4 linked regions of the Pelodiscus sinensis genome follow. The protein of the gene in region 1 interacts with the protein of each later gene in a pairwise test. Links are inferred from orthologs where the notes say so. Each region holds a gene or a part of one and is shown on either strand. Other genes may lie near its edges. The genes, in order: TRIP10, ARHGAP17, ABL2 and ARHGAP12.

Region 1 (7,177 bases):
GCTAGATAGATTCATGGATCATCTATTAGCCAGGATGGGTAGGGATGGTGTCCCTAACCTTTGTTTCTCTGGAAATGAGTGACAGGGGAGGGATCACGTGAGGATTACCAGTTGTGTTCCCTCTCTGGGGTACCTGGCATTGGCCACTGTTGGCACACAGGATATTGGGCTAGATGGACCTTTGGTTTTACCCAGTCTGGCCATTCTTATATCCTTATGTAGTCGATAAGGGGGTTCGCTGTGGCTCTGCTTTTTAAATATGGTAAGAGCCGCCTGGCTCATGCCATTTCCCCCATTCTAAGCCTGCTCCTCCCCCCCTTGCTGCCTCTGATACCGAGGCAGCAAGGGGGGAGCGACTAGTTGAGTAATGACTCGACTACCCAATAAGCCTAGGTTATCAGACAGCCAACTAGTCACTTACATCCCTGGTCTATACAGAGGTTCCCTGAGAAGTTTGCACTGAAGCAGCTGAGCACGTGCAGTCACAGCTGCACCATACATCGTACCCCCGCTGGATTAAAACTCGCTCCAGCTAGACACCCTGCAACCAGACCTGACAGAAGCACAGCCTTACCCCTGAGCGAGGGGACAACTCGCCCCCATGGAAAGCTTGCACCTAAACCCAACAGTTATCTCCAGAACAAGCTTTCTAAAACTCTCCTCTCCTATGCATCTGGCTTCTGTGAAAGCTTGTGGCCATGAGTTCCACAGGCTACTTGAGTGGGAAAGAGAGTTGGTTCCTTTCCTGGGAAAATAAGGGACCACTTGGAACCCTGGGAGCCTAGGGAACTCTGGAGTGGAGAAAGAGACAAGACAAAGTGGGGGGTTTCTATATAAACGTTAGCACCCCTCTGACTGTGACAAGCTGGATCATGTAAAGAAGTTAAGTGGCTTGCGAGATGCTAATTTTAGTGTTGATTTTACAACTGCTGGGGGGGGGGGGAAGAAGAGGAATTATGACTTGTGTCCCCACACAAAGCATCATCAGATTGACACCCCTCACTGCAGTGGATTTTGGGGCTACGGCTCTGTGTGTCAATGTCAGGGGGCCGCTACCTCCCCCAATCCCGCTAACACAGTCTCCCAGGGAAGCGCTAACCAGGGGTGAGCAGCCAAAAGCCGTCCTGCAGGGGATTTTAAAACAAGCAGGGAAATCCCCCAGCTCATCTGCAGAGAAAGGAACAAGGAGTCAGGGTTTAAATCATCCAGAGGTGGGATTTTGGCTGGGGATTTTCATGACCGTTTTCTCTCCCCCGTGCAGCCAAGAACAGTGTCAGAGGGGAGGGGGCGTCATTTGAGAATGATGCAGCACTGCTAAGCCTGGTGCTATTTTTAATGCTGCTTCAGACAGGACACCCCATCTCTCCTCCTCCCATCCCAAAGCCCTTTTAATGGCTGTTACCCAGGGGCGGGAGGCCATGCAGCACCTTAAGGCTGCCACTTAAAAAATCAGCACACCAAGGTTAAACAACAGTTAAAGCCCAATAATGAGATTAGGGGCGCTGAACACACATCCTATTACTGCACCAGGAGGGCTCTTTAAAGGGACCTGGCTGCCACATTTTTTCTGCAGCTCCAAGCCGGGCGATTACATGGGCAGCCTCGTTTTTACTGTCTCCCCGGAAGCAGCAGGTGCTGAAGCTTTGAGGAGTTCCCGCCCCAAAAGCCCTTTTCCGCCTAGGGAGACCGACATGCACGTGGCATCTGCGCACACAGGCAAAGCAGATTTTTGACCGAAGTGAAGTGCTGCAAAGCTCAGTTTAGGACAGCTTACGTGGTCTACCAGCAGTGGGGCCTAGTGGTTATGGCACTGGATTAGGAGTCAGGAGACAGATTCTGTTCTCAACTCGACTACTGACATGCTGCTTGCCAATTCACTTCCCTTCTTGGTGCCTCAGTTTCCTCTCCTGCCCTCTGTCCGATTGTGAGCTCCTAGGTGACTGTTTCTGCAGCATCAAATATGAAAGGACCCTGAATTTGATTGGGGGCGGGGGGGCTCATCATATTTCTTACAATAGTGTCTAAGGAACAACAGAGGCCAGGGCCCCATTGTGTCTGTGCAGCGCCCGGCACAGCGAGAGACAGACCCTGCCCCAAAGCACTGAGAATCCGGATACCAACCCCTTGCTTGGTGCAGCTTTACGAGGGCCTGGACACCAAGGGCCGTAGAAGTGGGGCAAATCCCCACTGCCGACAAGGCCTCCACGGCTCTGCTCCAAGACGGGGAAGTTTCCCCCAGGTGGGAACGGCCCTTACAAGGAGGGGACTGGTTCATTAGAGCAGAAGCCACTGAGGGGTTCCCCAAGACGCCCCATTCATCTGGCTGGAGGGCAGCTCAGGTCTGGAAAGCCACCGCTCCTTCGGGTCCTTATAGATCAGCTCCCCGCCGTGCCAGAGTTTTGGCGGCTCACGCTGGGGACAATTCGCTTCCCGCTGTTGCGTTACAGCCATTGACACCGCTCTATGGAGCCACAAACCTCTGCCTCTGCCTAGCACCGGGTGGCCAAGGAGCGCAGGCCTTGGGGCACCATGGCAGGGTGGAGGGGAGGATGGAGAAACGTCCCACGCTTGGAGGGTGTGCACCTTGGACTGGAGGGGGAGAGGGTCCGTCTGCCCTTGGGGAAGGACAGATGGAGCTGGGAAGAGAGGTTTAGTTCCAAGGCAACATGGGTCAGGTAGATAAGATGAGAGAGTCAGGACTCCTGGGTTCTATTCCCAGGAAGGATGTGGAAAGGGGGAGGCTTACCTGTTCCAGTAACCAGTGGGGTCTGGAGCAGCCTCCAGCTTGCTGCGGACAGGGGCCGGGAGCCGGCAGCAAGCCCCAGCACAGGCGCTGGGGGTAGGAGCCCCACATGCTGGGTGCAGTCCCCTGCCCGGATCTTGCTTAGTCAGTGAACCAGTTAAACCTTAGGTTTACTGATTGACCAGGATTTTACATTCCTAATACCCAGGCTTGCCTCTGACCTTGGCATCTTCTGACCAGGCCTCAGTCTCCCTTCCCTTTTGACTTAGCATGGAAGCTGTTTGGAGCTCTCTTAGGCAGTAGCTACACTAGGAAATTGGCACGCCTCACAAGCAGAGCCCTGCTCCTGTGGATGCAGCAATATCAGCCTTGGATCCACCCCGCGTGAAACAAGCTGTGCCAGTTTTCCCAAAATAGCTGCACCCACACTTGGGGCTTCTGCCAGCCTAGCTGTTGGCCACGGATCACAGCCTGGGCGGACACAGCTCTGCCGGCAGAAGCCTGCTAGGGGTTCTCATCTCCAAATGCTACTATGATACAAATCAATGAGGAAAAAAAAGACCAGGCTCTCGGGTATATGCAATAAACCCGGTGGCCTGTTTTCAGCTCGACTCTGGTTAGTTTCACCAGTTTTCCCCTGCAGGTGTCTTACACAGCAATGGGAAGAGAGATTCTTTACACACACACACACACGCCCCCCCCAACTGATTGCACAACCACAGTAAACAGGAGGGAGGAGCGAGCGAGCACCTGGACGAGGAGATGGTTGGGTTAACATTTGCAATGGCCTCTTTGAGGAAAAGAAGATCGGAATCACCAGGCTGGATAAAAGCAACAATCGGTCGAACCCTAAACCCCGGTCTCTGCAGCAGCACTCGATGCGTTAGAGGGAGACACAAGAAACCCCTCAGGTATGGGGAGCCTAGCGACTGGCCAAGAAGAGCCTGGCCCCAAGATTAAGGGGGTGTCTTCAATGCAGAGCGATCAGCATCAGGAGCGGAGCAGCCAGGGCAGGCGCGAACAGCCCGACAGCAATGAGTCACCATTACTGCTTTCACCTGGGGGCGCGCCCCATTGTCTCTGCAGCATGCTCCAGGATTTCCCCCCCCCAGCAAAAAGAAGGGAAAATCCATCTGTCCTCCAGGGCACAGAGGGGAATTGTGGGGCAGCACCTTCAGACCTGCAGCACTGGTGTGATTTTTAGCCTGTGTCACACTGCACTGCTGCAATCTAGCCCAAGTGAAAGAGGTGCCATCAGGCAAGCCAGCAAGCCTGGGGTGACAGCACCCTCACACTCGGGCGAGAGGACTGTGTGCGGATGAGAAGGGGAGAGGGAGTGACGCCCAAGGCAGACTCCACGTTACCCTGCTCTCTGAAGAGTTTATAGCCATCCTAAGGCAGAAGGATTCATGGCCCTGCCTACATTTTGGGGGGTTGCTTTTTGTTTTATTATAAGCCAGGATGCTTTCATCCATACCTTTTAAAAATCCTGCTGAGGTTGTAGCTAATTATCTTATAGCAAGGAGTTCCACAGGTCAGCTGTGTGTAATGGGGGGTGGCACCCTTCCAATGATTGGCTTGCCATCTGACCCCTTTCAAGACCTCCCTTACAAAGGGAAACATCTAAGCTGTGGAGATCCAACATTGCTAACTACGTTTAAAGATTTCACGGCAATTTAGCAGAAATTAAATGGTTTTGTGACCATTGTTCCCTGACAGCTTGTGTAACTGCTCAGGAGAGAATCAAAGGCTGCCCAGCAGCATGTCAGCAGCAAAGTTTTTGTTTCTACTGATGGTGCCCCAGAGCACATGAAAAAAATTATTCCACACCTGAATGGGAAAAAAAATCCGCACATGGATGGAACAGATTAGAGGGAACTTTTGTGACCGTGTGTGAGTGTGTGTGGAAAAGAGTTCTTTCCATGCATTGTCTGCAACCAATGCATATAAGTGCCCAGCAGGCACTGCTCACCAGGAAGTGAAACAGACTAGTAACAGCAGTGAAATTGACTAACCCAGCTTCAATCTGCAGGCTGAGTGAATGCAAACCAGAGCTGTAAGAAACTGGATTTTAAGTCAGAGATTCGGGTTTAGTCACTTATGACGTCTCGAAGCTCACGTTGTTGTACAGGTGCTGGAAAGATTAAATGACTCGCCCAAGATCATGCTGCAAGACTACAACACAGCTGGAGGACAGAACTCTTGAGTCGGACTCGTTGAATAAAACCACACTCGCCCATGGGCCCAATTCTCGGTCTTTCCCCTCCTCCGACCGCTACTGATTTCTGCTTCCCTTCAGAGTTATCCGTTTCACTTTGAGAACCCTCATCCAAGCACCACTGACTAATATTAAAAGACAGCCAAAAAGGTTCCTTTACCACTCCCTGTAAATGACTTTCAAGATTTCTGACCAGAGATAAGACAGCCCAGACTTCAGGACGGGACTGATCTTGTGTACAGAAGATTTAAGAACTGAAAGCAAGAAGCCAAAAGGGGGAGGGGGGGGGGGGGAGAGAAACATTGCGACATGTCAAACTTCAAACGTTTCTGAGCAGACAAACTCAGAGCCAGGGGATCAGAGAGACGTTTGAGCAGGCAGGCACAACTGGGGTCCACCAAGATTTGGAGAAGCCAATGCAAAAGCAGCATCGCACAACACTAAAAATAAAATCTAAAAGTTGCTTGAAACCTGATCCTGCCTGGCTGGAACCTGGAAGCTGAGACCTGCAGGAGTTGCTCTAATTGCTCATTCAGACTGCAGCCACCTGAAGTGACCCCAGCTTCCTCCTCTCCCATCATCATTTGGGGAAACGCCTCATGGCAGGGCCAGAGCCTGGTTTACACTGGGTCTCTTATGGCCCTCAGGCAGCCCAAAGCAGCCCTGAAAGAAGCAGGTGGGAGAATCACAATGATGGTTCCCTTTGCAGTCTCCGCGTGCCGGTTCTGCCGCAATTCGACTTTTGAAATGTATATTTCAAAGGCTCAGGAGTGGCAGAGAGCGCGGGGCTTTCGAACTGTAGCAAGAGGCTCTTCCTACAGTTCAAAGGCAGAGGCGCTCTTATCTACCAATCGAATAGTCGATAGACTTCGACTAGTTGATTAATTTAAATTTAACATCCCTACTTTGGCCACCTCAGGGAGTAGCCCTGATGCCAGCTGTGCCGGCGTAGCCAGAGCAAAATTGCTATTAGCCCGGAGGGGGAGGGAGGGGAGGGCGCGACCCAGCACTGGTACGAGCCTCTGGCAAGTGGCCTGGCTGGACGGGTTTGCAGCCCAGCGTGGGAGAGCGTTGGTGCCATGACCTGGCTCCGGACTGGCACACCACCCTGCCGGGCGACCCCAGCTTCCAGCACAAACCTGGAGGGCCGTCCGGGGAGGTGGGGGGTAGCCTAGGGCATTCCCACTGCTCCACCCCACCCTGCCACCACATCGTCCTGCCGCCCCACTGCGCCTCGCTTCTCAGCAGCGGCGAGGAGTCAAGTACGCTGAGGTTGGGGCCTTCTGCTTCCTGCTGCCTCAGAAAAGCCAAGCGCAGCGGGCGAGGGGAGGGTGGCGGGGTGGGGCAGAGGAGGCTGCTGGGCTGCTCTGGCGAGGGGGCAGTGACTCCTGCTGCCACCCTGTGCCAGGCCCATCCATAGGACTGCCACAGGGTCCCCCAAAGCACAGACCGGCGGGAAGGGAGCTGCCCCAAACTATCCTGTGCCAACACGCTATTGGGTAGGACTCAGCTGCACAGGGGAGTTACCCCAGAATGAGGTTGGCTGTGGATGTTCTGAGTTCCTGCTCTTCCGAAAGAATTGCGTCCACATGGGACGGTTATCCAGATTAGCTAAGCCGGTCAATTTCCTCAGGCAGACTACCTCTTAGTAGTACATAACAGTAGCACCTGGCTTCGATCAAGGCCCCGCTGTGAGCACACCTAGCGGGAAAGTGCCTGCTCTAAAGAGCTGCTCAAAAGGGCCCAAAGGAAGAGCCCTTATCTTACAGCTGGGAAACTGAGGCATGGAGCCATGACGTGACTTGCCCACGGTCACGCAGTAGGCAGCAGAGCCAATAACTGACGCCTGGTCTCTCTCACCCCAGTGACTTACCCACTAGGCTACCCTTCTTCTTAGTCCATCCTCCTTCCCCGCCCACCTCCCCCAGGCTTTGCAGCCCCCACCAATGAGGGGGCCATGGCAGCCAGAGTCCTGGCCCCTTTAAATCGCCGCCAGAGCACCACGTGGCATGCTCTGGGCAGCTCTGAGGCCTGGCAGGAGGCTGGGGAACAAGGTGCACTCCAAGTAGTGCTAAGAGCCAACTACCCCAAACCCCACCCCTTCCATCCAAGCCCCGCCCCTTCCGCCCAAGCCCCGCCCCTTCTAGGAACATGCCGTCACACACGCACACCTACCGTGCCCAGGGGCTCGGCCATTGTCAGCCCTCCCACAAGGC
Region 2 (7,465 bases), on another chromosome or scaffold:
CTGGTTCACTGGCCACCTGCAACACTGTGGGCGAGGGCACTCCTGTCCAGCCAGCCTCTTGTGGGAGAGGAGGCAGCTCCAGCCTGGCCAGAGCAACTTCCCTCCCACCCAAGCGGTTAACTGGTTAAAGATAACATGTAACTGATTTTACATGCCTACATTTTTCTATTAACTGTACAAACACTAGATATGATGTCTACCCCCAAAGAGCAAATACCTTAAGATGAGATGTAAGATGAAGATTGGGGCAGGAAAGCAAGAGCATGGAAGGGGTTTGAAATAATTTATTAAAACAAAATCTTGAGATAAGTACCAGCTATCACTGTCTCCCCCTCAAGCCATCATTAGTTGACATTTCTTATTTGTTTCATGTAGAAGTGGATTGCCAAGAGAGCACACATCTCTTACAGGTTACTGAGAGTGCAAACAAAAGTTGAACCTTATTCCAGACCAAACTTTTAGCTCCAAACCCCCCCCACAATTCAAACAAGACATAATTTACTCTAAACACTACAAATATATTTTAGAAGAACCCTAAATCACATTTCAGTATGTACAGATGACACCAAATTATGCTTAAGTACATGAATATTGCTTTACAATAAGCAGCAACTAGGCCCAAGACCTTCCAAAAGATCTGAGACAACAAAACAAAACTCTAAAGCTATGTCTACACTGACGGGTTGTTACGCCAAAAGTATGCAAATGAGGCTAAGTATGGAATATCGCTGAGCCTCATTTGTATACCCAATGAACCGCCATTTTGCGGAAGAGGCTCTTACGCTAGAAGGAGCTGTCTACACTGCCCCTTCTTGCGCAAGAAAAACCCTCTTGCACAATGCCCCTATGCTGATTATTTTCAGGAATAATGGCATTGCACAAGAGGGTTTTTCTTGTGCAAGAAGGGGCAGCGTAGACAGCTCCTTCTAGAGCAAGAGCCTCTTCCGCAAAATGGCGGCTCATTAGGTATGCAAATGAGGCTTGGTGATATTCCACGCTTAGCCTCATGTGCATACTTTAGGTGCAACAACCCGCCAGTGTAGACATAGCCTAAGTTAGTGGCACTTTGGTTGCTACAAAGGCCTGACTTCTCTGCCAAAGACTACCCCTTATTTATGCAATCTGAGTTTTGCTGAAAAATATCAATCTTAGAATTACTACAGAGAGATTATAAATAAAATTTAGCAAAATTATAGGAAATGGAAGTGAGAAAGTTAAAATATGAACAGGAAGTGTACAATGCAAATCATTTTGTAGGAACTTTGTGTAGCCCAACTTACAAATCAAAGAACTGTACTGCCACAGTTACAGCCAATCCAAGTGGTAAAACAGTCCTTGCCTTTTTGCATCAGTATAACATACCTTCAACAGATTAAAAGTTTTTGCTTTCTTGTTCAAATTATATTACTGAAAAGCAATATATTGATAGGCCAAACACATATGAGAAGCAACATTTTACACAAGTTTTAAACTCACAACACACTAGAGATGTCAACATTTAATTACATGAAGGAAATATTTGATCTTCTGCACATTTTTCTGCTTTGGCTAACAAATATAAACAATCGCACAAATCCCTGAAGTGACACTCTATATGTGAAAGTCCTCGATAACATGATACAGAGTAACATAAATATCAGGATTTTTACATGCCTAATTTCATGAAGTAGCATTTCCAAAGCCACTTTCTGTATTGACATAGGAGGATAATGGTAGACAGATTGACTCTCTCTAGTCCAGCAACATCCATGGTCCAGCATGATTTTAGTTAGCTGGGTGGCCATTTATCACAGCTTTGGCCAAGTTTCCTAAAGTAAGTCTCAAAGTTTTTTACAGCCCCCAAACTTGGCGTTCGGTACTGTTCTTTAGCTCTAATTTACCCCTAAACGTCTTCTAAGACCCTATCAAGCAGTGGAAGGGTCGGTAATGCTGCCGGACTATACTGGCCTCCCATGGTTCAGCAAATCCTCTGGCTCAGCACTGGTCAGATCCCGAGGATCTCCAGACTAGAGAGAGTCAATCTTTATTGATTTGGAAAGCAGCAGATAAAAGTCTTAAGTGGTGGCCAGAAGAAACGAAGTTCCTGAAGTTACTAGAGTAGTGCAACCTCACAAAACACTGTCCTTACAAGGAAACAGACACAGCCTGTCCATGAAGTGGAGGGGAGCTGTCTGGTGTAGTTGCTTTGTGGATCTGTCCTCTTCCATACATTTCACCAGGCCAAGTTCTAACAGCCGCCCCCCCCCCTCACCTCGCGGGGCAGGGGGCGGACCCCGCCAGCCCCCCCCTCACCTCGCGGGGCGGGGGGCGGACCCCGCCAGCCCCCCCCCTCACCTCGCGGGGCGGGGGGCGGACCCCGCCAGCCCCCCCCCTCACCTCGCGGGGCGGGGGGCGGACCCCGCCAGCCCCCCCCCTCACCTCGCGGGGCGGGGGGCGGACCCCGCCAGCCCCCCCCCCCTCACCTCGCGGGGCAGGGGGCGGACCCCGCCAGCCCCCCCCCCCCTCACCTCGCGGGGCAGGGGGCGGACCCCGCCAGCCCCCCCCCCCTCACCTCGCGGGGCAGGGGGCGGACCCCGCCAGCCCCCCCCCCCTCACCTCGCGGGGCAGGGGGCGGACCCCGCCAGCCCCCCCCCCCCTCACCTCGCGGGGCAGGGGGCGGACCCCGCCAGCCCCCCCCCTCACCTCACGGGGCAGGGGGCGGACCCCGCCAGCCCCCCCCCTCACCTCACGGGGCAGGGGGCGGACCCCGCCAGCCCCCCCCCTCACCTCGCGGGGCAGGGGGCGGACCCCCCCGCGGCTCGTACCTGCCCACGGTCTGGTTGGCCAGCAGCCGCATGCGGTTGAACTGCTTCTTCATGGCGGCGGCTCCGGTCTCCGCCTCCGGGGGACCCGCTGCGGCCGCGCCCGGCGCCTCCCTGCTCCAGCGGCAGCGCGAGCCCGGAGCGCCGCGCTCAGCTCGCACCCCAGCCGGCCTCCCCCCCCGCCGGAAGTCACCGCCACTTCCGGCTCCGCCTTCCCCGGCTGGCGCGGGTCACGTGGGTGCTCGCGTCACGGGAGAGGCTCGCTTGCGGCGAGTGGGGGGGGGGGGACAACAACATCCGGGCTCTGAGACGCGGAACTGGCGGGAGGTCACGTGGTGGGGTCTGCGGGCTGGGCAGTGATGGGGGAGGGGCGCAGCTAACGCCACGTGCCCCAGAGGGAATCCTCACGTGACCCCTCCCCTGTGGCCTAGTCCCAGCCCCTGACAGACGGGGGGGGGGGGGGGCCACTCCCCCCCCCGCCATGGGGCCTGCCCCCAGGAATGGCTCCAGCTCCCCTTCCTGGGAGGGGTCAGTGGGGCGCTCTGTGGTCCCCAGGCTGGGCCCCGGGGCGCTGGGGCGGGAGCGTCCCGCGGATGCAGCCGCCTCGTGTCGCCGAGCGTCCGTCTGCGGCGCCTGGTGCGGGGCGGTTGCCGCGTCGTTCGTCCGGTGCTCCGGGGCCGGAGGTCGCCCACGGGAATGTTTGGATTGGCCTGGTGGTCCGTGGACTGAAACGAGTCGAGAACCACGGGATTAGCCGCTGTGGGAAGGCAGGGCCCTGGGACAGCAATGTTCCCTCCCGACTCCCTCCTTTCATGTGCGGAATACATTTTATGTGCACTGAGGCACGTGTGCATGTGCACAACCCATGAAGCCGGCGTGGGTGCTCTGCTAATCAGCTGGACAGCATTTGAATCCTCGGTGGCCTCCCAACCGCTCAGCTTACAGGGAACACTGGGCAAGATGGACCTTTATTCTGATCCAGAATAGCCATTCTTATGTTCTTCATAACAAGGGCATTGTTTGCTGCTTTTTGCAGCAATCACAAAAAAATAATGGACATTCCATGTACTAAGGGACTGTTGGCAAGGTTAAGTAGTAGCTTTTAGCAGGGTGCAGTAATGCTTATGGCAGAAAGTGATTGTGTCCTATGCCTAGGTAGAATTCAGTGAGGCCAAACGTGATTACTCATCTCTGTTGGAGTTTGCCCAGGACACTAGGGCTCAAGATCTGCCAGAAGTACAATCTTTATTATACTTTAAACAAGTATTTACCAGCTTATTTTACCCCCTAATTTTGCACCACTCTCTTCAGTATTTGCTTTAACAAACCAAATGCATTCGCTTTAGTACTGACTCAGAGGGAAGCCTGCGAGCTACTATGAAACATCAATATCACAACTTACTGCATAGTGGGTTCCTTTCCTGTGTCATCTTTTGGTAAGAATCTGTATTAAAAAATAGAAAAGTAAATAGAAATCTGTTGTAATAACCTGCTTTTACAGCAGTATTCCTCTATGGCTCTCAAAAACATTTCAGGTGTTCAACAGACATTGATGAAATCCTATGAAGCAAGTGAATATCTCCACTTTACAGATCAGGGCAGACAGCAAGACCCACAACCAGAAATATACCCATAAATACTGCTTGTTCTCCAAGCCATCCTGTCGTTTAGCCACAAAACCAGTGTTCTCTTAGGTGACATTAGTATTATTATTAGTGTTATAGTAGTGTTTAGAGGCACCACCTGAGACCAGGGCACCATTCTACTGGTTATTTTAGTAAGAGAGTCCCTGAAGGGTTTAGAAAATCTAACAAAGAAACACAAAAGCGAGTGCCCTGTCCACTAGGCCACTCCAGATCTCATCCCACCTCCCTACCTTCAGGACATCCCTTATCCTGCCTTCCTAATATCACTGTCTGCTCCATCCCTGGGAAAACTGGTGTCAGGGTGGGGGGGGACCTCAAAGAGAAAGAGTGGGAAGTGGGTTGCTCAAGGTTACCCTGCAGGTCAGGAGCAATACTGGAGTGAACCTAGTCTCCTGATTCCCATCCTAGTGTCTTATTTACTTTTGCTTCCCAAATATAAAGTGAATTGTGAACAGGTAGGTAGTTTTTTTTAAATTTAGGGTGTGTCTAGACTACATGGCTCCCTTGACGGAGCCGTGTAGATGAGCTTGCTAGACATAGCAAAATGAAGCGAGGCATAAAGGATCTGACGAGGCATAAAGGATCTGACGACAAAGGGTTCTGGGGTCGGCTGATACCCGTCTAGACTACCGTGCTGTGCCGACAATCAGCTGATCGGCACAGCATGGCAGCCATTTTGATGTAAATGAAGCAGCGATTATTTAAATTGCTGCTTCATTTTGCTATGTCTAGTAAACTCATCTACATGGTTCCATCGACGGAGCCATGTAGTCTAGACACACCCTTAGAGACTGCATTATCCCCCTGCAGGAAACAAAGAAATCCCAGTGATGTGCAATGCAGATAGATTCCCAGCACAGTCACTCGTAATCAGTGGAAACTACTTGTGTACTGTGTGAGAACCATGCCGTAAAAAGGATTCTGGAACATAAAAGCTTTAGTGGGATCAGCTCTGGAATGTATCCGGCCATGCTGATGACTAAAAGTTTGCAAAATTGAAAACAATTTGAGAAAACTGATTTTTCCTCTCTTGTGAGCTGGCTTCTGGAGGATGAAGCTGGTCAGTCCTATTTATTAAACATTATTATTTAATTTGTATATTGTGGTAGTGTCTGTAGGCCTTCCAGGTCACACTCCCCTGTGCGAGATATGCTACAGACATATTGAAAAGGATAGATATTGCTCCAAAGAGTATTCAGTCTGAAAGACCCACAAGTTACTGTGTCTATGCTGCAGCATGCTGGTAACCTCAGCCTGCAGGGACAGGACTTTCCTGCTGGTGGTTTCCCTGAAGCAGGGGTCGGCAATCTTTTCATGCCAAAGTGCCAAACTACATCAACATTCAGAACAAGTGGTCAAAGAGCCGTATAAAAATGCCAATTTGCATGACTGAAAATATACAACTTAATAATACTAATTATTTACATGATGATTAATAATAGCATAAAAGAAACATTGTACTCAAGGACTTTATTTAATGGGACTTCTGCTGCTGCATCTTTTCACGCATTTCTTTGAAGTTTATGTCATAACAGGTCAAATTCAGCTTCTTGCACACATTCAGACTGTCTTCTGTCAATATTGAACAGAAATTACTTTTGATGTGATTCAAACTAGAGAAAGTATGCTCACACATATAAGTGGAGCCAAGCATTGAAAGTAAGGCCAAGCTGACATTCTGCATGGTGTAGTATGTGACAGGAAGTTATTTCCAAGTATGTAGAATCAGATCATCATTGTGCTCCAATTTCTTTGTGTCAGCTCATTTTTGTCAATTCTGCACGTTGTTGAGCAAGGCATTCTAAATCACAATTCAGCTTGGTGATTTTTTTCCACCCAGATATCCAATTCCTCAGAATCTGCTATTTTCATTTCCAAATCTCTGATTGAGATGCCTGAAATGACTATCAAATCTAGTTCTTCAACAGACACTTTATATGGACAACTCATAAACTTAAACAGAGCACTGTGTTTGCAAAAGTCAACAAAACAAGTCTTGAATGCCATCAGGAGCTCAGAACAAAGCTGGCAAGCTGCTGCAAATCAAGGCTGTGATTTGGATTCTTTCTCTCATACGAATCACAAAACATTCATAATCTTTCAAAATGTGCCAATCTGCCCGTCTCGATATCTTTGATGAAGACAGTCAATTTTGACTCATATCCAAACACTAGCTATTGCAGAGTCATGATTGTATTTCCTTGCCCTTCTAGTTTAAAGTTCAACTCATTCAAATTACTGGTAACGTTGACGAGATAATAAAACCTGAGCAACCAGTCACTGTCTGAAAGCTCAGTGTGTTTGACACCCTTCATATCCAAAAATGACTTAATCTCCTTAATGCAGGTGGCAAAATGAGACAAAACTTTGCATTAATGATTAACCAGTGAGCATTGTGCATTAATAGATTGGGGTATTTGGAATCTATTTCCTTGAGCAGTGACTGAATTTGACAGTCATTCAGGGCTTGGGCAAGAATCCAATTGACAATGCAAATGACCAGTCCCATTACATTTCCGAGTTCAATTCCACAAGATTGCACACAAAGTGCCTCTTGCTGCACAATACAATGAAAGTTCTAAAGTGGGCGATTCAGATGTTCTGACAAAAGAGTAAGGAATCTCCTGTATTTGCTGACCATGCGAAGTGCACCGGCTGTACACGCAGACACAAGCTTATCCAATTGTATTTCTTTCTCGTTTATAATGTTCATCACTGGTAATATTGGTAATATCTCAATAATTTCTTTGTACACAGAATTTCCATTAATATATCATCCCAAAATACACAACCAATTAACATCACATCTATTGATGGTCTTGTCCAAAGCAAATGAAAAATAAGTTGCTGTATTGAAATTTTGCATTTGTTCCTTGTTGATTTGATGGGCCAATTTCACAGCTCTGTCATTAACTGGTTTTATTGATAATGGCACATCTTGAATTCTCTGTAAGATTTTGTCCTTGTTGTGAAACTCATGAAATAATTCATGACCAATTTTTAGCATGCATCTCTTCA
Region 3 (7,011 bases), on another chromosome or scaffold:
TAAGACATCAGTGTCAGAGCCTGGGAGAGCAGGAACTGATGCTGGGCAGAGGAGTGACAGGGGACATAACTTGTGGCTCAACTCCACAACAGCAGAAAGATCTCTTTCCTTTCTCCCCCTTCTGGCAGTTCAGGCAAGTTTTCTGGGGCATGAACTCTTTTACTCAGTGTATGTAACCTAGCACAACAGGACCGTAAACTTAGGTATGGCCTTTAGTTCCTAATGCAATATACTAAGGACGTTAAAACACAATTATCTGGCTAATCGTATAGTCAATACAATTTGTATCAACTATAAGATTAGTGAATAAGCGCTACTGTGCAGAACCGCAGCAGAGGTAGCTCCAGCAGCCAGCTGCAAAGCCACCCATGCTGCTGCTCTGCATTTTAAATGTAATAAAAGTCACGACATTTAAAATGCAGAGGAGCAGCGAGCTGGGACTGCTTGGTCCCAACTCGCATTGAATCCAGCAGCCTGGGTGCCCAGCTCCCTGCTGGGATCCCCCCATTCATACAGGAACGTTACTGGATGTTCTCCTTCATTGGGAGCCAGGGAGAAGTGCACAGTTTGTTGCATTCCTCAATGTGTCTGGGGAGCACAGGGGGCAGACCTGGACCTCCCCCAGCTGAAGTGGCCATGGACAGGCACTTCTCACCTGGCTCCACACTGCTGCAGTGAGAGGGCTGTCCACTCCCCCTAATGCAGCCTGAACCCCCCATTCCCAGCCCCACCCCAGATTTAGCTGAACAAAATTAATTGAGTTAAAGACCCCAGCAACACTGGCACTGGGTAATCTTCTAGTTATCTAGTATAATATACTGTACTTCCTGTGAATTTGCTTTCTATGACCAGCACTGCCTCTTATACTTTACAAAGTTATCACTATCCTTCTTTGCTACCAAAACACCAAGGAGAGGTACTTTGTTATTAAAGGGATAACTTAGACTGTGACATCAGTCTTTCATAACAGCTCTACCAGGGAAATAAAGATTTTTGGTTTCAGCATGAAATTGAAGCATTGGTATTTTTAACTACACCTGCCCCCAAGTCTCCCTGTCAATTTCAGGGTTTGCAGTAATTTTCCTACTTTTAATAATTTCTCTTTTGATGGTGTGTGAAAGACCCACGCAAATAAGGAAAACTAATTAACTGTACAGAGGAAATAGTGAAACTGACTATACACTGGCACTGGGTCAATACAAGATCCAACTGAATATTTTCCTCTCTAATCTTTTTTATTGAATTTAACCTTCAGCAACAGCAGCAGACTTGTGGAAAGAAGCTACTTTTTTTTTTTTTAAGTTGACAATGTCCTGAAGTTCATAAACTGTTTAGAATCTTATCAATACATGATGTATATTTAGAAAGTGAATTTATATTGAAGGTTACACACTGTCTCTGCCACGTGGTAGGTATCACTGATTTACTAAGCTGTGCAAGTCAGCTGTCATAGGGGATGACTTTACATTAAAAACATGTAACCAGCAGCAGTCCAGTATCTTAATGCATATGCACTCTCTGTTGGGCTCAGAAAGAGCTAAGTTGTCAGAAGCAGTTTTGCCACATGAACACTGGAACATGATTGCTTTAGCTGAAATAAAAATCGATAATGCTCTCAGTAGCAAATTCAGGTCTTCAAATTAAAACAACAACAAAAAGCACCACCATTACACTTCAGCTCCTTGCACTCTTACTTTGTTTACCATATTTTTCAACCTTCCAGTGTATTATAATGGACAAAAAAGGCACAGAAAAATTATAAAGGTACAGTATTTGAGACGGTTGGCTTTTTAAGAGGATCTTTTTTCCCCCCCTGTAACCTCACTTTCATAGTCAGTATTTTTATTACTGTAAAGTGAAAGGAGGGGGCAAATTTGGACTTCGCTAAGTCAGCTGATGTACCGACTATTACAGCCATGCCAAGAACAAAACAGCCTGCTCCATAGATCCTTAGTAATGAGAAAGCCATGTCAGCAATAAAGGGCAAGACTAAGTCAGAAACGTGTTCAGTACTTATCCCCTGGAACAGACAAAGGTCTGACTATGTGGGGCTCATCCCAAAGAAGTTCACAGAGGTGTTGCAAAGGTAGATAGCGTACTTCGCTCTGTGTCTATTTTTTATTCATATTTGTCTCCATAAGCCACCTCCTTACCGATAAGGAAACAGCAAAAAAAAAATCACTGCCCTCTGACACAGCAGCTAGGCAAATGGGTGGAAGTTTCTGTAGCAATAAGAGCTTTGTAGGTGGTGGACTTCAGAAGGGAAGCATCCTCTCATCGCTCGCCTTCCAGGGAATCTGATTGTGCAGGCACATAGAGCCCTGGATGTACCCTCCACCCCGACCCTACGTGCCTCCCCATCCCCGCTCTGGCAGAAACCGTTCGGGGAGCCGCGCCAGTCCCCTCCCCCCACAGGCCGCACGCCACCGCAGGCAGCGATGGGGAAAGGGGGTGCATGGGGCTGCCCCCCACACGTGCCCTCGCAGGCAGCGATGGGGGAGGGGCGGGGTGCGGCTGCCCCCGACTGTCCCTCCGCAGCCGCGGTGCCTTCCCCCCGGCCCCTCCTCTCGTTTCCCCGGCAAACCCTGCCCCGGCGGTCCCCCGGGGCGCCCCGTGCCCAGCGGCTGCCCCCGCCCTCCTTACCGTGCTGGGTGAAGATATTGAAGCCGCTCTCCGCCGCGCGCCCGGCCGCCTCCCGCTTGCGGCCCGCGGGCCTGGGCGCGCTGCTCCCCCGCGCTCCCCGGGGCTGCTGAGGCGGCGGCGGCTGCTGCTGGAGCCCGGCTCCCGGCTCCCCGACGCGGCCCACCTGCTGGCCCATCCCCGCGCTGCCGTCCTGGGCCCCCGCCAGCCCTCACTCACATGCCGCCTCCGCTGCCGGTGGCCTCCTGCGCCCGCGGCCCGGGGCTCCCCACAGGGCTGCCCGCCCCAGCCCGCCGCGCTCCGGCCTGGGACTCACGGACTCGCCCCCTCAGCCCCCGCCGCCATCTTAACCACAGAGCTGCGGGAGAGGGGACAGAGCGGCTCCTAGAGACCCACCTCCGGTCCTCCAAGGGTGTCCTGCCACCGCCAGCTCCACCCCCCGCCCCGCCCTGACATCACCCAGCCGCCTCTGCCCCCTCCTTGACACCCCTGCCCCGCCCTACGTCGCCTAGCAACGCCCGGCCCCGCCCTGACATCACCCAGCCTCCTCTGCCCCCTCCTTGACACCCTTACCCACCCTATGTCGCCTAGCAACGCCCGGCCCCGCCCTGACATCACCCAGCCTCCTCTGTCCCCTCCTTGACACCCCTGCCCCTCCCTACGTCGCCTAGCAACGCTCGACCCCGCCCTGACATCACCCAGCCTCCTCTGCCGCCTCCTTGACACCCCTGCCCCTCCCTACGTCGCCTAGCAACGCCCGACCCCGCCCTGACATCACCCAGCCTCCGCTGCCCCCTCCTTGACACCTCTGCCCCTCCCTACGTCACCTAGCAACGCCCGACCCCGCCCTGACATCACCCAGCCTCCGCTGCCCCCTCCTTGACACCTCTGCCCCTCCCTACGTCACCTAGCAACGCCCAGCCCACCTACCTCTGCCCTGACATCACCCAGCAACCACACACCCCTCCCGCCTCCTCCCTGACACCCCATCTCTCCTTTCCCCTGCCAACCCTTTTCCCACCCTGCACTATCCCCTGACTGCCTAGTAACGACCTGCCCATCCCCTGCCATCCTCCTCTGGGTCCCCTGAACCCCCAGCCCACACCGATTAAATTAACCCCCTTTTCCATCCCCCCCTCTTGCCTTTCCACCCATTCTCCACCTACAGTGTCATCCTGACTATCCCCCACTGTCTGCTTGACAGCTCGGTGTTCTCCACTACCTACTGTTATTTATCCCCACAGCACTACCCTGTTTCTCTCCTGTCCCATAAATGCTCTTTGTGAACACAAGCCCTTCCCTTGTTCTGTAGAAATCTGACTGAGATACATGAAATACTGCTCACCATGCATGCCATAGGATCATTTCATAATATTAGGCCTGGGCTAAACCTACAGTGAAGGTCAAGCTAGCTCCATCGCTCAGGGCTGTGAGAAATGTCATATTCTGTGTGATGCTGTTAGGTCAATCTAATCCCAACTGTAGATGCAGCTAGGTCAACAGAAGAATTCTTCCCTCATCCTAGCTACCTCCTCTGAGGGAGTGGATTTATTTAGAAGCAATGAAAAGCCCTGCCCATCACTGTAGTAAGTGTCTACACTATAGTGGCATGATCGCAGTTATACTGCTGTAGAATATGTACATACCCTTACACTCTCAAAGGGGGGGTCCTCTTCTACTTTTTCATTTCCTTTCAACATTTGGTCAATTTTAATGTAATTTTCATTAGTAGTCATGCAAATACTTATTATATCCCAAAAGGTCTAAAAATTCCAAATTGGCATATGTTTGACCCAGAAAGCGTACCCTGATTATATGAGAAATTAAATGTGATTTCCCCACCATGACCTTAACAGAAGCAAAATGCAGGACAATGTAGCACTTTAAAGACTAACAAGATGGTTTATTAGATGATGAGCTTTCGTGGGCCAGACCCAGGAAGTGGGTCTGGCCCATGAAAGCTCATCATCTAATAAACCATCTTGTTAGTCTTTAAAGTGCTACATTGTCCTGCATTTTGCTTCAGCTACCCCAGACTAACACGGCTACATTTCTATCATGACCTTAACAGAAATAATCACTAATAAAAACAGACATCTTAACATTAAGCACAAAATTATACTGAGGCATATAATGGACAAATTTTCAACAAGCGTTGCGGTTACATAAATATATTAAGTAATGTTCCAGTTACAAACTGTAAGCATTTGAAAGTATGGAAACTAATAGATATGGAAAGCCCACAAAAGGAGGAGAGGGAGTGACTACTGTGAAAGAGGGGTTTTGTTTCAAATTTTGCTGTTCCCCTTTATTTTTCATTTGGCTAAAGCTGGCAGGATGGGAGGCACAAGGGGAAAGCTCATTTATGTAAGAGAAAGCATTTTCTTAGAGGCTGGTTGAAGATTGTGCAATGAACCACTGTAAAACCTAAGAATGACTTAAAATTTCAGCACTTTCCATTCCAAGTGTAGGCACACTTAAATATTTACAAAACATAAATGAAAAACATTTTTAAAAATAATTCTCACAATTTTCCTCCTGGGGAGCAGGGAAGGGAGGAAAAGAGATTCACACATGAGAGATGCTAATTACATCACTTCAACTTCTGGAAAGTACCCAGATGCCATGTTGATAGGCACAAGAGAAGAAACTTGAGTAGAGCTAAATATGACTATCTACACTAAATTAAGACACAGTTAATTATTATTCATATTAAACTTACAGTCATAGTTTCTATGATTCACTTAGAACAAATTCAAAATTAAATTATATCACTTAAAAGTCTGGGACCTCTTACACTGGAAAGATCTGAATATCTTTCAGATCAGTTTAGCCCATTCCTATTTGGAAGTGAGCAATTTTGAAATGAAGATGCAAAATAATTCATTTTATCTTTGCCTAAAATGTTATTTCAGTGCTTCTTGCTTCTTAAAAGGTGGTTGTACAGGTATTTTAAAAAGTGACTATGTAAGCACTTTCTAACTTAACAAACTGGTCCTATTTGTGTGTTTACTGGAGATGAATCTTATAACCTTTGGAATATGCTTTATACACACACACGGGAGGGGCTGTGCCCCATGTTTGCTATGCTCGCCAACTCCAGAGAGCCTATTAAACTTGCACTGATTATATAGAAGTGAACAAATGAAGATGTATAGAAAAACTTAATTGGTCTATTGCTCACATACTAAATGTTATAGACAGATGTACAGACAGATCTCAGTTTCACAGTTGGTTCTGGTTGAAGCAGAAGTAAGCGAGACGCTGAGACTTCACTTTCAAGTAGGCTGATGATGTAATTCAGTTGCACGGCAGGAAAAACTTTTTTTATATACAGAGGGAGATAAACATATGCCTAAAGTAATAAGATATATATAGATATATAGATTATAACATGTATGTTTTACTTCAATTTGCATGAAGAGACAACACAGATAACCGAGTGAGCTGGATTCTATTTACCAACATCCAGTCACTGACTCTGGCTTCCAAAGGGTTGCACAGGTAGAAAAGAGGTCAGAATTTGAAGATAATAGGACAGTCCAGGTATTTGTTGGCCTGTGGAATCTTTTATTGGTGATGGCACATGTGACAAGGGAAAAAAGATCAAGTTTATTTTCAGATCTTCTATGTGCAGGGCTGGTAGTTAAAAAAAATCTTTTAATTGTAAACTGAACACATTTGCTATGAGAATTGTTGCAAGTCAAAAAAATTAAAACTCCACACTGACATTTACAGAGTCACATTTCAGAGTAGAACCCCACTTTAAAATTAGTAGCAATAACAGCTTTCCTACTGCCTCTCATTCATAGATCTCAGAGCACTTTCCAAAGGACGTTTATTAGTATTTTAAAAGAATATGCCAATGTTGAGAGAGATTTATTTCTGGAGGAGGAGGGGTCCAGAAGGGTATCCAGCATTATTTGTTTAAAACAGAATTTTTATTCCTTAGATCTCATGACATCACAGGATATCTTTGCATAACTAGCTTGTGTTAAGTAATATGCTGATGCCACAAGACGTGGAGCCACAGCACAGAAACCTCTTACTGAGATGGAGTCAGATCGAGATGATAACAGCCCATTTAATATATTTTCAAAGTGTTTACTATTTTATTATAGATAGATAGATAGATAGATAGATAGATAGATAGATAGATAGATAGATAGATAGATAGATAAAATGTATATAATACTTGAAAACCATGCAATATATTGTGCCTAATTAGCTTCTTAATAGTATCACTGTAACTTGGGTAGCAAGTGCTGGGTTGATGAGGCAATTAGCTTCTTAATAATCTAGTAGAGCCAGAATGAGAATATGAATAAGTATTCTTAAATTATAATTATTTTTCTGCCACTTTATCATGGT
Region 4 (7,216 bases), on another chromosome or scaffold:
AGAGGAAAAAGAACTGAGGAGAGTTTGCACTTTTTCAAAGGGACGTTATTAAGGGCCCAAAAGCAAGCTATTCTGCTGTGTAGGAAAAGTAGAAAGTATGACAAAAGACCACCTTAGCTTAATCAGGGGATCTGGCATGATCTCTGAATCAAAAAGAAGTCGTATTAAAAGTGAAAACGAGGACAAATTACAAAGGATGAGTATGCAGGGGAAGATTAGAAAGGCAAAGGCACAAAATGAGCTCAAACTAGCTAGAAACACGAAGGGTAACAAGAAGACATTCTATAAATATATTAGCAGCAAGAGGAAGACCAAGGACAGAGTAGGCCCATTGCTCAGTGAAGAGGGAGAAACAATTACAGGAAACTTGGAAATGGCAGAGATGAGTTCTTTGTTTAATGACTTCTTTGTTTCGGTCTTCACCAAGAAGTCTGATGATGAAGAAATACCTAATATAGTGAATGCTAGCAGGAAGGGGGTAGGTTTAGAAGATAAAATAAAAAAAGAACATGTTAAATATTACTTAGAAAAGTTAGTCTGCAAGTCACCAAAGTCTGATGAAATGCATACTAGAATACTCAAGGAGCTGATAGAGGAGGTAGCTGAGCCTTTAGCTATCATCTTTGAAAAATCATGGAAGATGGGAGAGATTCCACAAGATTGGAAAATGGCAAATATAGTGCCCATCTATAAAAGGGGAAATAAGAACTCCCCAGGAAACTACAGACCAGTCAGTTTAACTTCTGTGCCAGGAAAGATAATGGAGCAAGTAATTAAGAAAATCATCTGCAAACATCTTTTGGAAGAAAATAAGTTGCTAGGTAACAGGCAGCATGGATTTGTAAAGAACAAATCATGTCAAACCAATCTGATAGTTTTCTTTGATAAGATAACAAGTGTTGTGGATAAGGGAGAAGCGGTGGATGTGGTAAGGCATTTGATACTGTCTTGCATGATCTTCTAATCAATAAATTAGACAAATACAACTTAGATGGGGCTACTATAAGGTGGATGCATAACTGTCTGGATAACTGTTCTCAGAGAGTAGTTATGCCCTTCCAGCATGTTTGTGAACCATTAATAACAAGTGGGGTTCCGCAGGGGTCTGTTTTGGGACTGATTGGCATAGAGAGTATGCTTATTAAGTTTGCAGATGATACCAAGCAGGGAGGTGTTGCAACTACTTTGGAGGATAGGGTCATAATTCAAAATGATCTGGACAAACTGGAGAAATAGTCTGAGGTAAATAGGATAAAGTTTAAGAAGGACAAATGCAAAGTACTTCACTTAGGAAGGAACAATCAGTTTCTCATATACAAAATGGGAAGCGACTGTCCAGGAAGGAGTACTGTAGAAAGGCATCTAGAGGTCATAGTGGACCACAAGCTAAATGAGTCAACAGTGTGATACTGTCCCCCCCCCCAAAAGAAAAAATGATTATGGAATGCTTTAACAGGAGTGTTGTGAGCAACACTCTGCGCTACGCTAGAGAGGTTGTGGAATCTCCATCTCTGGAGATATCGAAGAGCAGGTTAGACAGACATCTATCAGGGATGGTGTAGGTCATTGTTTCTGAAAGTGTTCTGTGGAATCACTTTGTGAAACACATTAACTGGCCACCCCCATTTGTTATTCACCAGCACCGCAGCCATGGAGCCTCATGGCTCCCATTGGCGTCATTTCGTCCTTTGTAGCGAAGAGGAGCTGTGGGAAGCAGCGTGGGTCGGGCCACATCTTCCCACTGCTCTGCTTGGCTGCAAAGAGCGAAACAGAGCCCATGGGAGCCGTGAGGCTCCGTGGCTGCGGTGCCAGTAAATAAACAAATCGGGGTGGCCAGTTAATGTTTCTCAAAATGATTCCATGGAACACTTTCAGAAACACTGGTCTAGATGGTGCTATCTAGACTAGTACATTGTTCTAACATATTTTTGGCCCCATGCACACTGGGGGAATATCTATGCAGCAGCAATGAGCGTATTCCATAAGCCCTAGCTCTGTTCTAGTTAGGACAGTAAATACAGCAGTGTGGCTATAGTGGTGTTGGCAGTTGCTTGGGCTAGCCACCCCAGTACAAACCTGCATGATTGTATAGTTTGGAAAGGTCAGAGGGGTCGTTGCCTGCCCAAATAGCAAACCTTGGCAAAAAGCAGAATTTGTCCCTTCCTACATGGCCCTGGTGGTCTGATTAGAGCTGCCTGTCTTCTCCCCCTCATGCCCCCCCGCAACACACACATAAGTCAAATCATGCTTATGCCCAGACTCATGGTATGTCTACACTATGGAGTTATTTTTCAGAAAAACAGCCGTTTTTTAAAAAAAAAACTTCAATTACATCCACATTGCAATTGCGTTCTTTTGAAAGAAAATCAAAAGAACAGAGTTTTCTCCAACATTGGTAAACCTCTTTCTATGAGGAAGAAGCCTTTTTCCGAAAGAGCTCTTTTGGATAAAGGTATGTGTGGACGGGGAAGAGGGAGTTCTTTTGCAAGAAGAGGAAAGAGGAAAAAACACAGATGCCCTGGTGGCCATTCCACCCATAGTAATCACAGCTTACATGCGAGATAGCATCCAGACTGAATGGACACTATCTTTCGAAAAAGATCACTTTTTCGATGAGCTTTGGCAGTGCAGATGCTCTCTTTCAGAAGAAGTTTTTTCAGAAGATCTCTTCCGGAAAAACTTTTTCCGAAAGAAGCTTGCCATCTAGATATAGCCTCACTGAGTACATGCTGAGCCAGGAATCCAGTTGTGTTAGAATCCCATTTAGCTATAATCCAGTGGTGGACAACCTGCAGACCAGAAGCTGAACGTAGCCCATGTTGATTCTATGCATGGCCCACAAGACATTTTGTTTACCGTTGTCCACACACAGGGTTGTCCAATTCCACTGGCTTCTGTCTGTGTAGTTTTTTTTCCCCTACTGGTATTACTAAAGTGACACACTCATAAAAGGCATGTGAAGCAAGGTGTATGCTGACCGCACACAACATTTACTGAGAGAGCCATTCACTCTCTTGGCATCCAACCAAAGTGCTGCTATAGTTCAACTAGCACACCCAGCAAAATTCAAGTGCAGTTAGCAAAATTATCCTATCCCCGGAGACTGTATTGGTTATGACAATCTTGCAGTCCACTGAAGTGAAGGAGGCTCACTCACTAGCCTAAGTTGCTTATCACTACTATAATCAAATTCAAATTGTGTTTAAGTAAAATTTAAATTCATTTGTTTAACCAGTAAAGATAGAGTATGAATTTCATTTGCTTTCAGAGTTGCAAAGTCTGGACAACATACATGGCTATAATAGAGAAGAGAACAAAGAAAACTGTTCAGCAACACAAAGGATCAGAGAAGTAGACTTCAGTGAGGGCTTAAATTCCTAAAGAGTAAAAAAGATTTTATAAATATATTTAGAAAGCTAAGCTAGATTTGCAAATATTTATTCTCCTATGGCAACTTCTATGTCCAAAATTTACAACACAATTCAAATTCTTCCCATGAACTTTTGCAGCCTTGCCAGAAGTTAAGGGAGAGGAATTAACAATAAAAAGAACAACATAAATGGAATCAAGTCCTTTCTTTGTATACTTTCTTATTATAATTATTCCAGTTATGCCTCTTCTGCTCTCCCTTTATTAGATTTTTTTACTCACATCTGTTGCATCATTTTCTAAGTTAGACTTCAAGCTCTTCACAGGCTTTTGTGAAACATCCAGCACATTTCTGGGTGCTCATACAAATAATATTATTATTTAAGTCGGGTTAATTTAAAATTCTTTGACTTCTGTAGATTTTTATGAGTAATAAGGATTTAACCTACATTGTGATGTTTGTGAGTTCTGTAGCCTGTGGCAGTTCTCATTAAAGTTAAAATTAGCAGTGAAACAGAGGAAAAAAAATCTAAAATAAGATGCTTAACAATGCGTATCAGAATAAATAAGAGAGTAAGTCTTAGTAATCAAGCTCACAAAGCTTAGTGATTAAATTGACAAATTCTTAAAACACATGGGGGTGAAGTGACTAAAGTTGTTATAGCCACATGACGTTGTGTATGGAAAAAATAACCCCTCACGTCTATGTAGCATATGATAAAAATAGACCCATCTCCCCTTCCCACGCTGCTTCTCTCCGGCCTCCCTTCCCACAGAGCTCCTCTGTGACGTGCTCCCTCCTCTCCCCCCCACCCGCAGCTGCCTCAGCTCTGCTCCTCCCCCCATCTCCCTTCCCCACACAGCTTCTCCCTCTCCCCGTAGCCCCCTCCCCCCCAGGTGCCTCCTCCCTGGCCCGTCACCGCGCTTTCCCCCGTCCCTCCCCCGGCACGTGACGAGGGAGCGCTGACATTGCGCGAGCGCGAGGCGGAGACGGCGGCAGTGGTTGGCGGTGGCGGCGGCTGTGGCCGCGCTGAGGCGGGAGCGGACCCGGCGGCTACCCGGGTAAGGTGGCTGTAAGCAGGGGCCCAAGGCCTGGCGCCGGCCGGGGGGGCGGGCAGTGAAGGGGGCGGGGTCTCGGCGGGTGACCCTGTTGGCTCGCGGGAGGCTGCTGCTTCTGCCGCCGCCGCCGCCAGGGTCGCCCCCAAGCTGGCTGGGCCGGGAGGGGGTCTTGGCTGGTGCCCCGAGTCCCTTCCTGGAAGGAGCCTGAGTCCCTTTTGCCCTCCTCCCCCCCGCCGAGGGCGGGAGTCCTAGGGGAAGTTTCTTCCTGGCCCCTGGCAGGGGCTGGCTTGTGCCCGGAAGCGAGGAGGCTTGTGCTCGTCCTGCTCTGTATCCAGGGGCTGCTTCACCCCCGCTGGCCTGTTCGTACTCACCATAACTCCTGGGGTTGGCTGGGATGGGGGCGACAGTGGCACTGCTACCCCTGCCTTCTCTGTGCTCAGGGGCGCTGGAGCAGGTTTTATAGTTGGGGGTGCTGCGAGCCATTGAACCAAACTGTAAATCTGTATAATGGAAACCCCTTCAAGTCGGGGGGCTGGAGCCCCTGCCGCCCACCCGTGCTTCCAGTACCAATGCCTGTCCTGATAAGCAGGCTGCATAGCCCTGGGTATAAAGTTGACTGAGAACGACTTTCTCTCTTGTGTTGGAAATATGAAGTGGGGTGGGTGACTTTTTTGTTGTTGTTGTTGGTTGGTCATTGCACAGACTGCATGTTCGGTTTGTTTTTCAAAACCTTTGTGTATGTATATACTGCAGATGTGCCTGCTCACAAATTAGTTAACGGAGCTATGAATATGTCCTGTAATTTTGTTTTACCTGTTAAAATGAATCCTAAGGTTCAGATCAAAACTGCTTCAGTGCTAGTTGAGATGGTAGCCATTACTGTATTTCTCAGATGTCCATTTTGAATGTGGACTCTAACACACCCTAAAATGCTTAGAATGATTGTTTGTATAATTTAATCACTGTGTACAGACACAGATTTGCTCAGCTATTTATTGCTGGTCATTCTAATCAACAATATAACAATAGTGCATAGTGAAAGGCAAGGGGCTGCCTGCTTTAACATATACAGTTGGTGAAAAGTGGCTTTTAAAAGTTGCTTTGACAATGATTTAAAATATATCATGTATTCAGAAGTCTCTAAGATGAGCCAATAGACAGTTATCAGGAAATTATATTTTACTTATGCTTTTAATTTTTAAGCAAATATAAACATTTAGGGCAGACGGGCTCATTCTGCTTGGAAACTGCATTTGTCTCTTAATACTGATGATGGTTATGTTGGAGGAAGGGGTAAAGGTTTAAACCTTTTATTAATGGTCCTGAAAGTCCCTAATGTTCATGTGTGCTATTTGTGTTATATATATATATATGTTTGCTTGACATGATTTTACCTACAATTCTGCACAAATAACTGATGCTTGTTGTCAAGCAAAACTGTTCTGATGAAACTTCAGTATGTGAAATTCATTTCTAACAGCGCAGATGTGAGAGAAATTGTCTTCTAGAAAGTATGGACTTGAGGTACTCTCTGATGACATTAAAAAAAAGTAGCTCTTTGATATTGTAGAAATTTCTTCAAATTTTACTCCAAACTTGAATACTTATAAATTTGGAATATATTGTTGGCTTCTTTGTTGTTCTCCTTAGTCACTGAATGTACTGAAAAGCTTGAAAGAATGATTAGCTAACTTTTTTATTTTTGATCTTGAAAAATAAGAAAGTGTCTCAGAAAAATTTGAATAAAAGGTTAAATAACAAGAATTTCACAATGGTTTAAGTTTGTCCCCAAATAAGTATATCTTGGAACCATATTCAAGAAATGCTGTTGTAGCAAATGTTTTTGAGAAGTTGCAAGGACACACTTAAGGGGGGAAAAAACTACTATGTGGAGACAATTGAGTAAATTTTTTGTTTCATCTGGCATTCTGTTGGTAAGAATTTAGGACAAATGTTCTCAAATACAGTTTCTATGACTGACTGACTGGTTTGTGCTGCAACACTGTTAAAGTATTTGCTGTAGCTGTAGGGACTGATTCTTTTAATGAAATATGTATTGCAGAGGTGGTACAAGAACCAAACCATTGTTTTTGTGTGGCTCACATAAACAGTGGCTATTGTTTGCTTTTAGTTTTTAGTGGTTCAGTTAACCTTTTTGAGAAGTGAAATGTTTGAACTTCAGCTTTTTGTAAATTTAAAATGTCATACTAGTCTCTTAAAAATATTCTTAAAAGTCAAAGTAATTGTAAAACCATTTCTGATATTCTTCAAACACCCCTTGGAAAGGAGTCCAGTTTGTAGCTTAGAAATGCAGTGAATTGCTATGACAGCAGCCTGGCAGTCACAGGGGAAATCTTTGTTCTTTGTGCAGAGTAGTGCTGATATTTGAAGATGGGAAGTACTGTGAAATCTGGGGAAATAGCTGAGCTGCAGTACTTACTTGAGGCTTATCTGAAAGTTACACAGATTTTAACTAAAGGTGTAACTTAAAATTAGTTTAAACTCATGCTAGTCTGTAGTAGGAATGTTAAAATGTATGTAATTGGCTAACTGTAACTGCTGAAAATGGTTTTATGTGAGGTGGCTGCCAGCTCCCTGGCAGCTGATGTGATGCCAGAAGCCTGCTCTGGTGTGCACTGGATCCTGCACACACCCCCTCTCCGTGGGAAGCTGGCTGCTGCCTTGCACTGTATCAGAGGCAGCAGTGCGAGGAGGCATGTGGGAGCTGATATGCATGGGGATTCTGGCATCCAGGATCAGACTGCCACCCTGCACTGCTGCTTCTGTA

The links.
Region 2: the proteins of TRIP10 (region 1) and ARHGAP17 interact in binary tests that used the Homo sapiens proteins (3 or more experiments, as listed by UniProt). The link is inferred for Pelodiscus sinensis from reciprocal best matches to the Homo sapiens genes TRIP10 and ARHGAP17.
Region 3: the proteins of TRIP10 (region 1) and ABL2 interact in binary tests that used the Homo sapiens proteins (3 or more experiments, as listed by UniProt). The link is inferred for Pelodiscus sinensis from reciprocal best matches to the Homo sapiens genes TRIP10 and ABL2.
Region 4: the proteins of TRIP10 (region 1) and ARHGAP12 interact in binary tests that used the Homo sapiens proteins (3 or more experiments, as listed by UniProt). The two-hybrid records come from large-scale screens. The link is inferred for Pelodiscus sinensis from reciprocal best matches to the Homo sapiens genes TRIP10 and ARHGAP12.

Annotation. Positions count from the first base shown.
Region 1 is NC_134729.1:11,915,755-11,922,931, forward strand, and holds the start of TRIP10 (cdc42-interacting protein 4), read right to left. Parts: upstream 3,015-7,177; 5' UTR 2,855-3,014; coding exon 2,747-2,854; intron 1-2,746. UniProt on the Homo sapiens protein: Required for translocation of GLUT4 to the plasma membrane in response to insulin signaling. Required to coordinate membrane tubulation with reorganization of the actin cytoskeleton during endocytosis.
Region 2 is NC_134726.1:38,940,718-38,948,182, forward strand, and holds the start of ARHGAP17 (rho GTPase-activating protein 17), read right to left. Parts: upstream 3,005-7,465; 5' UTR 2,858-3,004; coding exon 2,805-2,857; intron 1-2,804. UniProt on the Homo sapiens protein: Rho GTPase-activating protein involved in the maintenance of tight junction by regulating the activity of CDC42, thereby playing a central role in apical polarity of epithelial cells.
Region 3 is NC_134719.1:59,804,138-59,811,148, reverse strand, and holds the start of ABL2 (tyrosine-protein kinase ABL2), read right to left. Parts: upstream 3,012-7,011; 5' UTR 2,819-3,011; coding exon 2,644-2,818; intron 1-2,643. UniProt on the Homo sapiens protein: Non-receptor tyrosine-protein kinase that plays an ABL1-overlapping role in key processes linked to cell growth and survival such as cytoskeleton remodeling in response to extracellular stimuli, cell motility and adhesion and receptor endocytosis.
Region 4 is NC_134712.1:229,556,158-229,563,373, reverse strand, and holds the start of ARHGAP12 (rho GTPase-activating protein 12), read left to right. Parts: upstream 1-4,210; 5' UTR 4,211-4,431; intron 4,432-7,216. UniProt on the Homo sapiens protein: GTPase activator for the Rho-type GTPases by converting them to an inactive GDP-bound state.